Linked DNA regions of Macaca mulatta. The protein of the gene in region 1 interacts with the protein of each later gene in a biochemical or structural test. Links are inferred from orthologs where the notes say so. Each region holds a gene or a part of one and is shown in the gene's direction. Other genes may lie near its edges.

What was found.
Region 2: the proteins of CTSB (region 1) and CSTB form a complex in vitro, tested with the Homo sapiens proteins (2 studies listed by BioGRID). The link is inferred for Macaca mulatta from reciprocal best matches to the Homo sapiens genes CTSB and CSTB.

The regions. Positions count from the first base shown.
Region 1 is NC_133413.1:9,424,610-9,429,098, forward strand, and holds the start of CTSB (cathepsin B), read left to right. Parts: upstream 1-1,599; 5' UTR 1,600-1,677; exon of another isoform or gene 1,678-2,806; intron 2,807-4,489. UniProt on the Homo sapiens protein: Thiol protease which is believed to participate in intracellular degradation and turnover of proteins. Cleaves matrix extracellular phosphoglycoprotein MEPE. Involved in the solubilization of cross-linked TG/thyroglobulin in the thyroid follicle lumen.
Region 2 is NC_133408.1:3,750,245-3,754,473, forward strand, and holds the start of CSTB (cystatin-B), read left to right. Parts: upstream 1-1,222; 5' UTR 1,223-1,316; coding exon 1,317-1,382; intron 1,383-4,229. UniProt on the Homo sapiens protein: This is an intracellular thiol proteinase inhibitor. Tightly binding reversible inhibitor of cathepsins L, H and B.

The DNA.
Region 1 (4,489 bases):
TGGTTCTGGCTGTGTCCGCCCCATTTTGGCTATCTTATGAGCTCTTTATAGAGGTCTGAAATGATTTGACTTCCATATGGAAGACAGCATGCCCCAGCACTGATTTGGAGTCTGGAGTCCATGGCCCTCAGGATAGGGCTAGGGTGAGCAGGCAGTTGGGACCACCTTGACCTCCAGCCTTCTGGTCCTCAGTTCCTTGGGTATCCCACTCCGCTGGGGGCTTAGTGACCATGTTTGGGCTCCAGAGATTATTTTTTCCTTCCACTCCTATCCTTAGTTTGGTACTAACCAGGCGGGAATACAGGTATGACTCTGAAGACCCTGGCAGGCTCAGGGCTGTGTGACAGCTGACGACCGGGCTGCAGGGAGCCACGTCCCTTGGAGTCCTACTGCCTTTTTACTGTCGCCACAGCCTGGATAAAATACGATGATTCTTCTGAACTTCTTTTTTTTTTTTTTTTTTTTTTAAGGCAGGGTTTCACTCTTGTTGCCCAGGCTGGAGTGCAATGGCAAGATCTCGGGTCACCACAACCTCCGCCTCCCGGGTTCAAGTGATTCTCCTGCCTCAGCCTTCCGCGCCACCACGCCCGGCTAATTTTGTATTTTTAGTAGAGCCGGAGTTTCTCCATGTTGGTCAGGCTGGTCTTGAACTCCCAACCTCAGGTGATCCGCCCGCCTCGGCCTCCCAAAGTGCTGGGATTACAGGCGTGAGCCACCGCGCCCAGCCTCTTTGAGCCTCTTGAATACAGGGGTCATGCCTGCCTTGCAGGTTTGTCTTTAGGATTAGAGCTGTTTGGGGAGGGTCTGGAGGAGGGTGTCTTGAGCCAACCCCAGCATCTCCCCTCCAGGCCCTCCCGCTAATAAACCCCAAGTAAATGTTCACTTTGTCAGTCCTCTCGGAGCAGGTCTCCCGGGACTCCTGTGCCAAGCCGATTTCCGCCCCCCAAGGTCCTTCTCCTCCTCTGTAGAAATCCTGACGCAGCTCCTAGGTTCCTTCGCGGTGACAGCCACCCTTTTCTATTTGTACGTAGCTGGAGTGTTTTGTGGGTACGTTCTCAGAACAACAAAGTGGAGCGTTTAAAGACTGTTCTGTAGGGTCCACAGCCTCGCCACCCCCAGCCCCTGCAGCGGCTTCTGATGAATGAAATAAGCGACGGCGCCCTCTCCCCCACCCCGCCCCCGCCAACCCGGCAGGCAGGGATCCCCGGCGCCGGTTCTGGCGGAAGCGGTCCCGCGAGGCGGGGGGACTTTTCTAGGTGGGGTGGGGGCTCTGGGACCACCTTTCGGGGCTTTTTCCCCATCCCCTGGCCCCAATTCGCAGCGTTTCGCCACCCAGGGCCCGCAGGGCTCCAAGCCCCTCTTCCCCAACCCGGGCGCTCAGGCCCCCGCCCTCCCCGGCGGTGTCCCCGGACCCCCGGCGGAAGGGGTGGGGGGGTGCGGGGCCGGGAAGAGGGGAGCGCGGGCGGCGGAAGGTGGCGGGAGGAGGTGGGGGCTGGGAAGCGGGGTGCGCGGGCAGCGGGAGGGCACGGGCGGGGCTGCGCGGTAGTCACGTGGCGCAGGACCGGGAGGGTACTTAGGGCCGGGGCTGGCCCAGGCTACGGCGGCTGCAGGGCTCCGGCAACGGCACCGGCTCCGCGGCGCGCAGGCTGGGCTGCAGACTCTCGGCGGCAGCGTTCGGTGAGTGCCGGGGGCGCGGGGTCACCGCGGCGGAAGTGACCTTGGCGGGGACGGTGCCACCGGCCGCCGAGACGGGTTCTTCTGCGTCCCCGGTCGGGCCTAGGCGCGGCCCCGCGGCGTTCCTGGGGGCAGGTGGGGAGCCAGGACCCTCGGGACTGACCCTGACGGGCGGGCTGGGGTGGGAGCCCGCGCACTCCGAAGCGTCGACAAGAAAAGCAGAAAACAGCCCCGCCGGCCCGCCCGCCAGCCCCCTCCCCTCTGCTCCCCTCCCCGGCCTGTGCGCGGGACCCCGGCCCCCGGAGCGGGGACGCGGCCAGGAGCCCCGAGGGAGGCGCCTGCGAGGAAGAGCTCGGCTAGGTCCGGAGGCTGCTGCCTGGGGTCGCGCTCCCAGCGCCTGGGCCTCGGTGTCCCCGGGACAAACTGCCGAGATTATCGCATCTGCCGGCATCTATTTTCGGTTTATTTCCCCCTCGTTCCAAAGGATTTGCCTGGCCAACTTTCTGCGCAAGATCCCACACAATTCCTGGGACCCCAGAAGACAGGTCCTGTTGAACAGGGATCTGGCACTGGGTGGGCTGGGGAGGAACCCGCACGGAGTTAAATCCATAAACAGGAAGAGAAACCAAGCTGCGAAACCAAGAGGCGAATGGGCGATTGGATGCCGGGTGGGGAGAAGGCCAGGGACGCTCCCTGCCCCTGGACTCCAGTAAAGGGAAGCCGGGCAGAGTTCCTGGGGCCCTACCTCCCCCTCGGTTAGTAGCCCTGGAGGCCGGGGGGAGTTGGCCTCTGGGGAGCAGTAGGTGCCTGGGTGTGGGGCGCTGCAGGCAGGCTGGGGTGGGTGACCCAGCTGGAAGTGAATTGCACTTGGCTTCTTGGTGGGCCTCTGTCACCCCCTTCCCCAGGCATCGAGGAAGCCAGCAGGCTGGCAAGGAAAAGGATCCTAGCGCAGGCCCTACACCCCTCCTCCTAACGGAGGAGAGACCCCCAAACCCACTGGAGAAGCGATGCTGTGGGGCTCAAAGGCAGACCTGGCACGTTTTTGTAGCCTAGAAAAACTGATCCCCACTGCCTCCCGCCGGAGGAGAGGATAGCTGAGATGCACCCTCTTTCAGTCCAAACGTTCAGGAAGGTAAGGCGAAGAGGCCTAAGAGGGCGTTGGCTTGGTTAAGGGCTGCTCTTTCTCTTCCATAACATCGGTTCTTTTTTTTTTTTTTTTTTTTTTTTTTTTTTGAGATGGAGTCTCGCTCGGTCTCCCAGGCTGGAGTGCACTGCCGCAATCTCGGCTCACTGTAACTTCCGCCTCCCAGATTCAAGCTATTCTCCTGCCTCAGCCTCCCGAGTAGCTGGGATTACAGGTGCCTGCCACCACACCCAGCTAATTTTTGCATTTTTAGTAGAGATGAGTTTTAACCATGTTGACCAGGCAGATCTCGAACTCCTGACCTCAGGTGACCTGCCTGCCGCGGCCTCCCCATGAGTCACCATGCCTGGCCTGGCGGAGAACTGTTTCTTCTTGGTGATGGTGACTTAGAACCCGCCAGCTCCTGGAGAAAGGGGCTGGGCTGCCCACCCTGTGTGGCCTTCCCAAAGACAGAGTCAGACGTCTCCTGGAGAGCAGAGGCTTCTCCTCCTTTTTGGTCATTTGTCCCGGAGCTGGGGTATCCCCTGGTGGAAAGGCACAGGTCTCTTGGCCCAGGTGGCAACGCAGACCAGACACGGCCCTGGCACAGCTCTCGCCCCAACAGCTCTCCTGGATGTTGGCTCAGGACAGCCCTGTTGTCAACTGGTCAGGCGGCGAGGGGTGGCAGCCCTTTGGCTCCAGGTTGAAGCGGCCCATGTGGTGCTGATTTAGCAGTTTGGTGAGGCTCTTCTCCTGGGCAGCTTCTTTTCTTTCCCTAGCTGCTGGACCTGGGAGTTGGAAGATAAGTTGCACCCATTTTAGGGGTAACAGATATTTTCTGTTGCTCTTGGTTGGATTGGGAAATGAAGGGAGATCACGTTTCAGGGGGGCCTTGGGATGTCTGTCGGTGATGTTCTCTTTCTTTTTTTTTTTTTTTTTAAGACAGACTTTCCCTCTGTCGCCCAGGCTGGAGTGCAGTGGTGCACCCTCCACCTCCCAGGTTCAAGCAGTTCTCCTGTCTCAGCCTCCCAAGTAGCTGGGATTGCCGGTGCCCATCACCACACCTGGCATTTTAAAAAATTATTTTTAGTAGAGACGGGGTTTCACCATGTTAGCCAGGCTGGTTTTCGAACTCCCACCTCAGGTGATCCGCCTCAGCCTCCCAAAGTGGTAGGATTACAGGTGTGAGCCACCACGCCGGGGTGGGGGTGATTTTCTTAAATCTGTTAATGAGTTATGGTTGTGTAGAATAATATACCTTCCTTTCGAGATATGGACTGAAACATTGAGAGGGAGGAGTTACAGGTATGCCACTTCTTATCCTTTTCTCTTTTTTTTTTTTTTTGAGACAGAGTCTCGCTCTGTCACCCAGGCTGGAGTGCTGTGGCACAATCTCCCAGGTTCAAGCAGTGCTCCTGCCTCAGCCTCCCGAGTAGCTGGGATTACAGGCATGCACCACCATGCCTGGCTAATTTTTGTATTTGTAGTAGAGACAGGGTTTCACCATGTTGGCCAGGCTGGTCTTGAACTCCTGACCTCAAGTGATCCCTGCCTTGGCCTCCCAAAGTGTTGGGATTACAGGCGTGAGCCACTGTGCCCAGCCCTGTGTTTAGACTTTTAACTAATCTCGTTTTTAGCTTCAAGCCTTATCCTCCGCCTCTACAGACCACTCCTGTGCCTGTTTACTGGTTC
Region 2 (4,229 bases), on another chromosome or scaffold:
GGCTCATGCCACTAATCCCAGCACTTTGAGAGGCCGAGGTGGACAGATCCCTCGGAAGTTCCAGACCAGTCTGGGAAACATGGTGAAACTCTCTGTATATGCGTGTGGTAGGATGAGCCTGTTACTATAGCAGCTGAGGTGGGAAGATCGATTGAGCCCAGGAGGTCCAGGCTGCAGTGAGTTGTGATCAGGCCACTGTATCCCAGCCTGTCCAACAGAGCAAGACCCTGCCTAAATTAAAAAAAAAAAAAAAAGAACGAAAGAAAGAAAGAAAAAAAAGAGGTCAGGCTCGGTGACTCATGCTTGTAATCCCAGTACTTTGGGAGCCCAAGGCGGGTGGATCATGAGGTCAGGGTTCGAGACCATCCTGGCCAATATGGGGAAACCCCGTCTCTACAAAAAACACAAACATTAGCCGGGCGTGGTGGCGCGCTCCTGAAATCGCAGCTACTAGGGAGGCTGAGGCAGGAGGAACGCTTGAACCCGGGAGGTGGAGATTAGAGTGAGCCGAGATTGAGCCACTGCACTCCAGCCTGGGCGACGGAGCGAGACTCTGTCTCAAAAAGAAAAAAAAAAGAAAAAAGAAAAAAAAAAAAAAGAAAAGGAAAAGAAAAAAGAAAAGAAATCCTAAAACTCAAATTCCAGTTCCACCAGAGAACCCTGCCTTCTTCTCATCCCTCTGATCTACCCCCTGCCCCCACCCAGCCTGGGGCGCATGGGCGCGTCTCCTCCTCCCTGGGCCCCTCTGTCCACCCGCTTCAGCCTTCAGTGTCCTGGGTCACAAGCGGTGATGTCCACAGCAGCCAGCACACCTGCTCCCGCAGGGCCGGAACCCCTGACCCCTGTAGCGCTGCGCCCACCCCACCCGTGCCCTCCCTCGTGCGCGGCCCGGACCCCGCCACACTGCAGGACGGCTCCCCCTCCGACTGCCCCTCCCTATGGTCCCACCCTGCGCGCCCAACCCACCGGCGACACCCGGCCGCGCCCCCGCCCAGTCCTTGTGACTCGGCGCCTGGAAAGACCACACCAACCCCGGGAGGGGGGCGCTGCTTCCCGACACCGGCCCTGGGCGCGGAGACGGAGCCCGCGGAGCGTGGTAGCCAGGCTCCCAGCCCCGCGCCTTCCCTGCGCCCCGCCCCGCGCGCCCCTTATTGCGGGGCCACCGCGACCCCGCAGGGGACGCCCAAGCCAAGGTCCCCCCTCCCCGCGCCTTGGTGCCGCCCGCGTGTCACGTGACCGCAGCGCCTACTTGAGCAGAGGAGCCGCCGCGTCCCGTCGCCGAGTCCCCTCGCCAGGTTCCCTCCGACGCCGCCAAGATGATGTGCGGGGCGCCCTCCGCCGTGCAGCCGGCCACCGCCGAGACCCAGGACATCGCCGACCAGGTGGGTGGGCCCCGGGGACGGGGCCGGCCCGGGGTCCCGCCTGAGCCTCAGGGCAAGGCCGCGGCTCCTGGAGCGGGAGAAGCCACTTCGGCCCCGCTGCGCACCTGGGCGGGCGGGTTCGGTCCTGGACCCCCGGGCTGGCCGGGCTGTGGCCGTGAGAGGCCTCCCTCCGCTCGGGCGCTGCGTGCGAGTGTGCAGGGGAGGGGGCCGCGCCTGGGTCGGCGCTGGGGAGACACTGGGCTCCGCTGAATACAGCAAGCGCGAGTGGCAACTGATAGCCCCGGAGCAGGGTGCGGTCCCTGGATGGACAATCCCTGAGGGGAAACCCCAGGCATGAGGCGCTTCAGGTGATCGGGCGTCGCCGGCGATGGCGCAGGTGAGCAGCCGGCTCCAAACTTCACGGTGACCCGATAGCAAGCGGGTGGGGAGGGTCTGGCCAAACGGACTTAGCCAGGCTTCTTGCTAAAATTGGATTTTACAAGGAAGTGCGCAGGTGGCCTAGGCGCTTCAGGAGCCCGACTACAGTTTGGCCAAGCAAGAATCTTTGTCAATATCTTCAACTAGTTCAGGCAAATATCATGAGAGAGTGCAAGAGGTCCCCAGCGGTAAGGCACATGGGTTAAAAACTTAAGCGTATCTGCACAAAGGGTCTACAGGTTTCTTTACACGCTTCTGATTCTAACACTGTTTCAAACTGTAAGTCTAAATAAAAAGCTAAAACACACAAAAAAACAAGATAAAAACCGGGCTGGGTTGCAGAGGGCAACCTTCCCTGTGCCTCGGTTTCCTCGTCTGTAAAATGGACGTCCTGTTGCTTTGCACCTTCCAGAGGATTCTAGAGGGGCTTCAGTGAGCAGGTCCTCTGCAGGAAGCCCCTCCGGTGGAGCACAGGCCGGGCCCGCCTCCCTGTCATAGTTGGTGACCAAGTGGATGCCCCAAGCAGGAACAGGTCCAGGCGATGCTGAGGCCTGGGTTTTTTGTTTTTTGTTTTTGAGACGGAGTCTCACCCTGTTGCCCAGACTGGAGTGCAGTGGCGCAATCTGGGCTCCCTGCAACCTCCACTTCCCAGGTTCAAGAGATTCTCCTGCCTTAGCCTCCTGAGTAGCTGGGATTACAGGCATGCACCATCATGCCCGGCTACTTTTTGTATTGTTAGTAGAAACGGGGTTTCACCAGATTGGCCAGGCTAGTCTTGAACTCCTGACCTCAAGTAATCTGCCCACCTCAGCCTCCCAAAGTGCTGGGATTACAGGTGTGAGCCACCATGCCCAGCCGAGGCCTGTTTTTGTTTTGTTTTTGTTTTCTTTGAGACAGAGTCTCGGTCTGTTACCTAGGCTGGAGTGCAGTGGCATGATCTCAGCTCACTGCAACCTCTGCCTCCTGGGTTCAAGCTATTCTCTTGCCTCAGCCTCCCAAGTAGCTGGGATTACAGGCGCCCGCCACCTCACCTGGCTAGTTTTTTGTATTTTTAGTAGAGACGGGGTTTCGCCATGTTGGCCAGGCTGGTCTGGCCTGTGTTTTGAGTAAGGAGAGGAAAAAGGAAACAAATTTCTTTTCCTTTATTTTTATTTATTTATTTATTGACACAGGGTCTTGTTCTGTCACCCAGGCTGGAATGCAGTGGCACAGCCTTGACCTCCCGGGTTCAAGCGATTCTCCTGCCTCAGCCTCCTGAGTAGCTGGGACTACAGGTGCACGCCACCACGCCTGGCTAATTTTTGTATTTTTAGTAGAGACGGGGTTTCACCATGTTGCCAGGCTAGTCTCAAATTCCTGGGCTCAAGCGGCCCTCCAGCTTCACCCTTCCACAGTGCTGGGATTGCGGGGGTGAGCCCCGCCCAGCCTTCTTTCTCACTGGGACTGCAGGCGTGAGCCCTGCCCAGCCTTCTTTCTCCTTTTATCTTTCCTCCCCTCTGCTGCTTCCTGAATGTGATCAGCCCACAGCCTCATCACTCAAGGGTTTTTGACCATCTGACTGCGGGAAGAAGGGCAGAATGAGTCAGTCTCATGACACCTTTGGAAATGAGGCATTTTTGTCCGGCCGGTGCCTGCCCAGGCTGCTTGTGGGAGCCGCACCTGGAAAAGTGGTTCCTCTCCCCGACAGCCACTCATAGAAGCCTACCCAGCTCTTCCTTACCCGTTTCCTGGCTTTCCAGGCCTAAGACATCCCGCATTGTCACCCACTCTGAACTTCGAATGAGTTCTTGTTGCAGCCAGGAGAAAAGAGTCCCTGTCTCAAAAGTGACCTGAGTGGGCCCAGCCATGGCTACTGGGAGGGGCGTTAAGGCAGGCGTATGAACCAGGCAGCCCATTTGCCGGGTGGTCTCTAAGGAAGGGCGGGAGGGAGGGGCAGGGGCGCTTCCTGGACACCCCCTAGTCGGGCCCTGTCTTACCGACTCCTTATGGGAGCGCTCGGGCTGAGTGTTCCTGTCATACTTTGCAGACAAGGAAGGTGGAGACCAGAGCCTGACTTGAGCCCTAAGGCCAGCAGAGTTCCTCATTCTGTGCCACTGCATGGGGGACCCTCCCCCAGAGCCACCCCTGCGCCCTCGCATCCCGTCTGCCCCACTGTCGACACCCCCGACACAGGTGACTGGTCGGTCACTTGCGGCTTTCTAACTCATCCTGCCTTTCAGGGCTCCCCCGGTGAGAGGCCGGCCCCTGCTGCTCCCTGTCAGCGGCGTCAGTGCCCACGCTGCACAGGCGGCCTGGCCTGGAACCAGCACCTCCACGGTGCACAGCCTCCTCCACAGCCTCCTGGGGGTTTCCCTGCCATGCCCTGCAGACTTTGCTGTTCCTGCTCCCGAAACAGCAAAGAGAGGGGCCAGTGCTCATCCTCCCATGCCC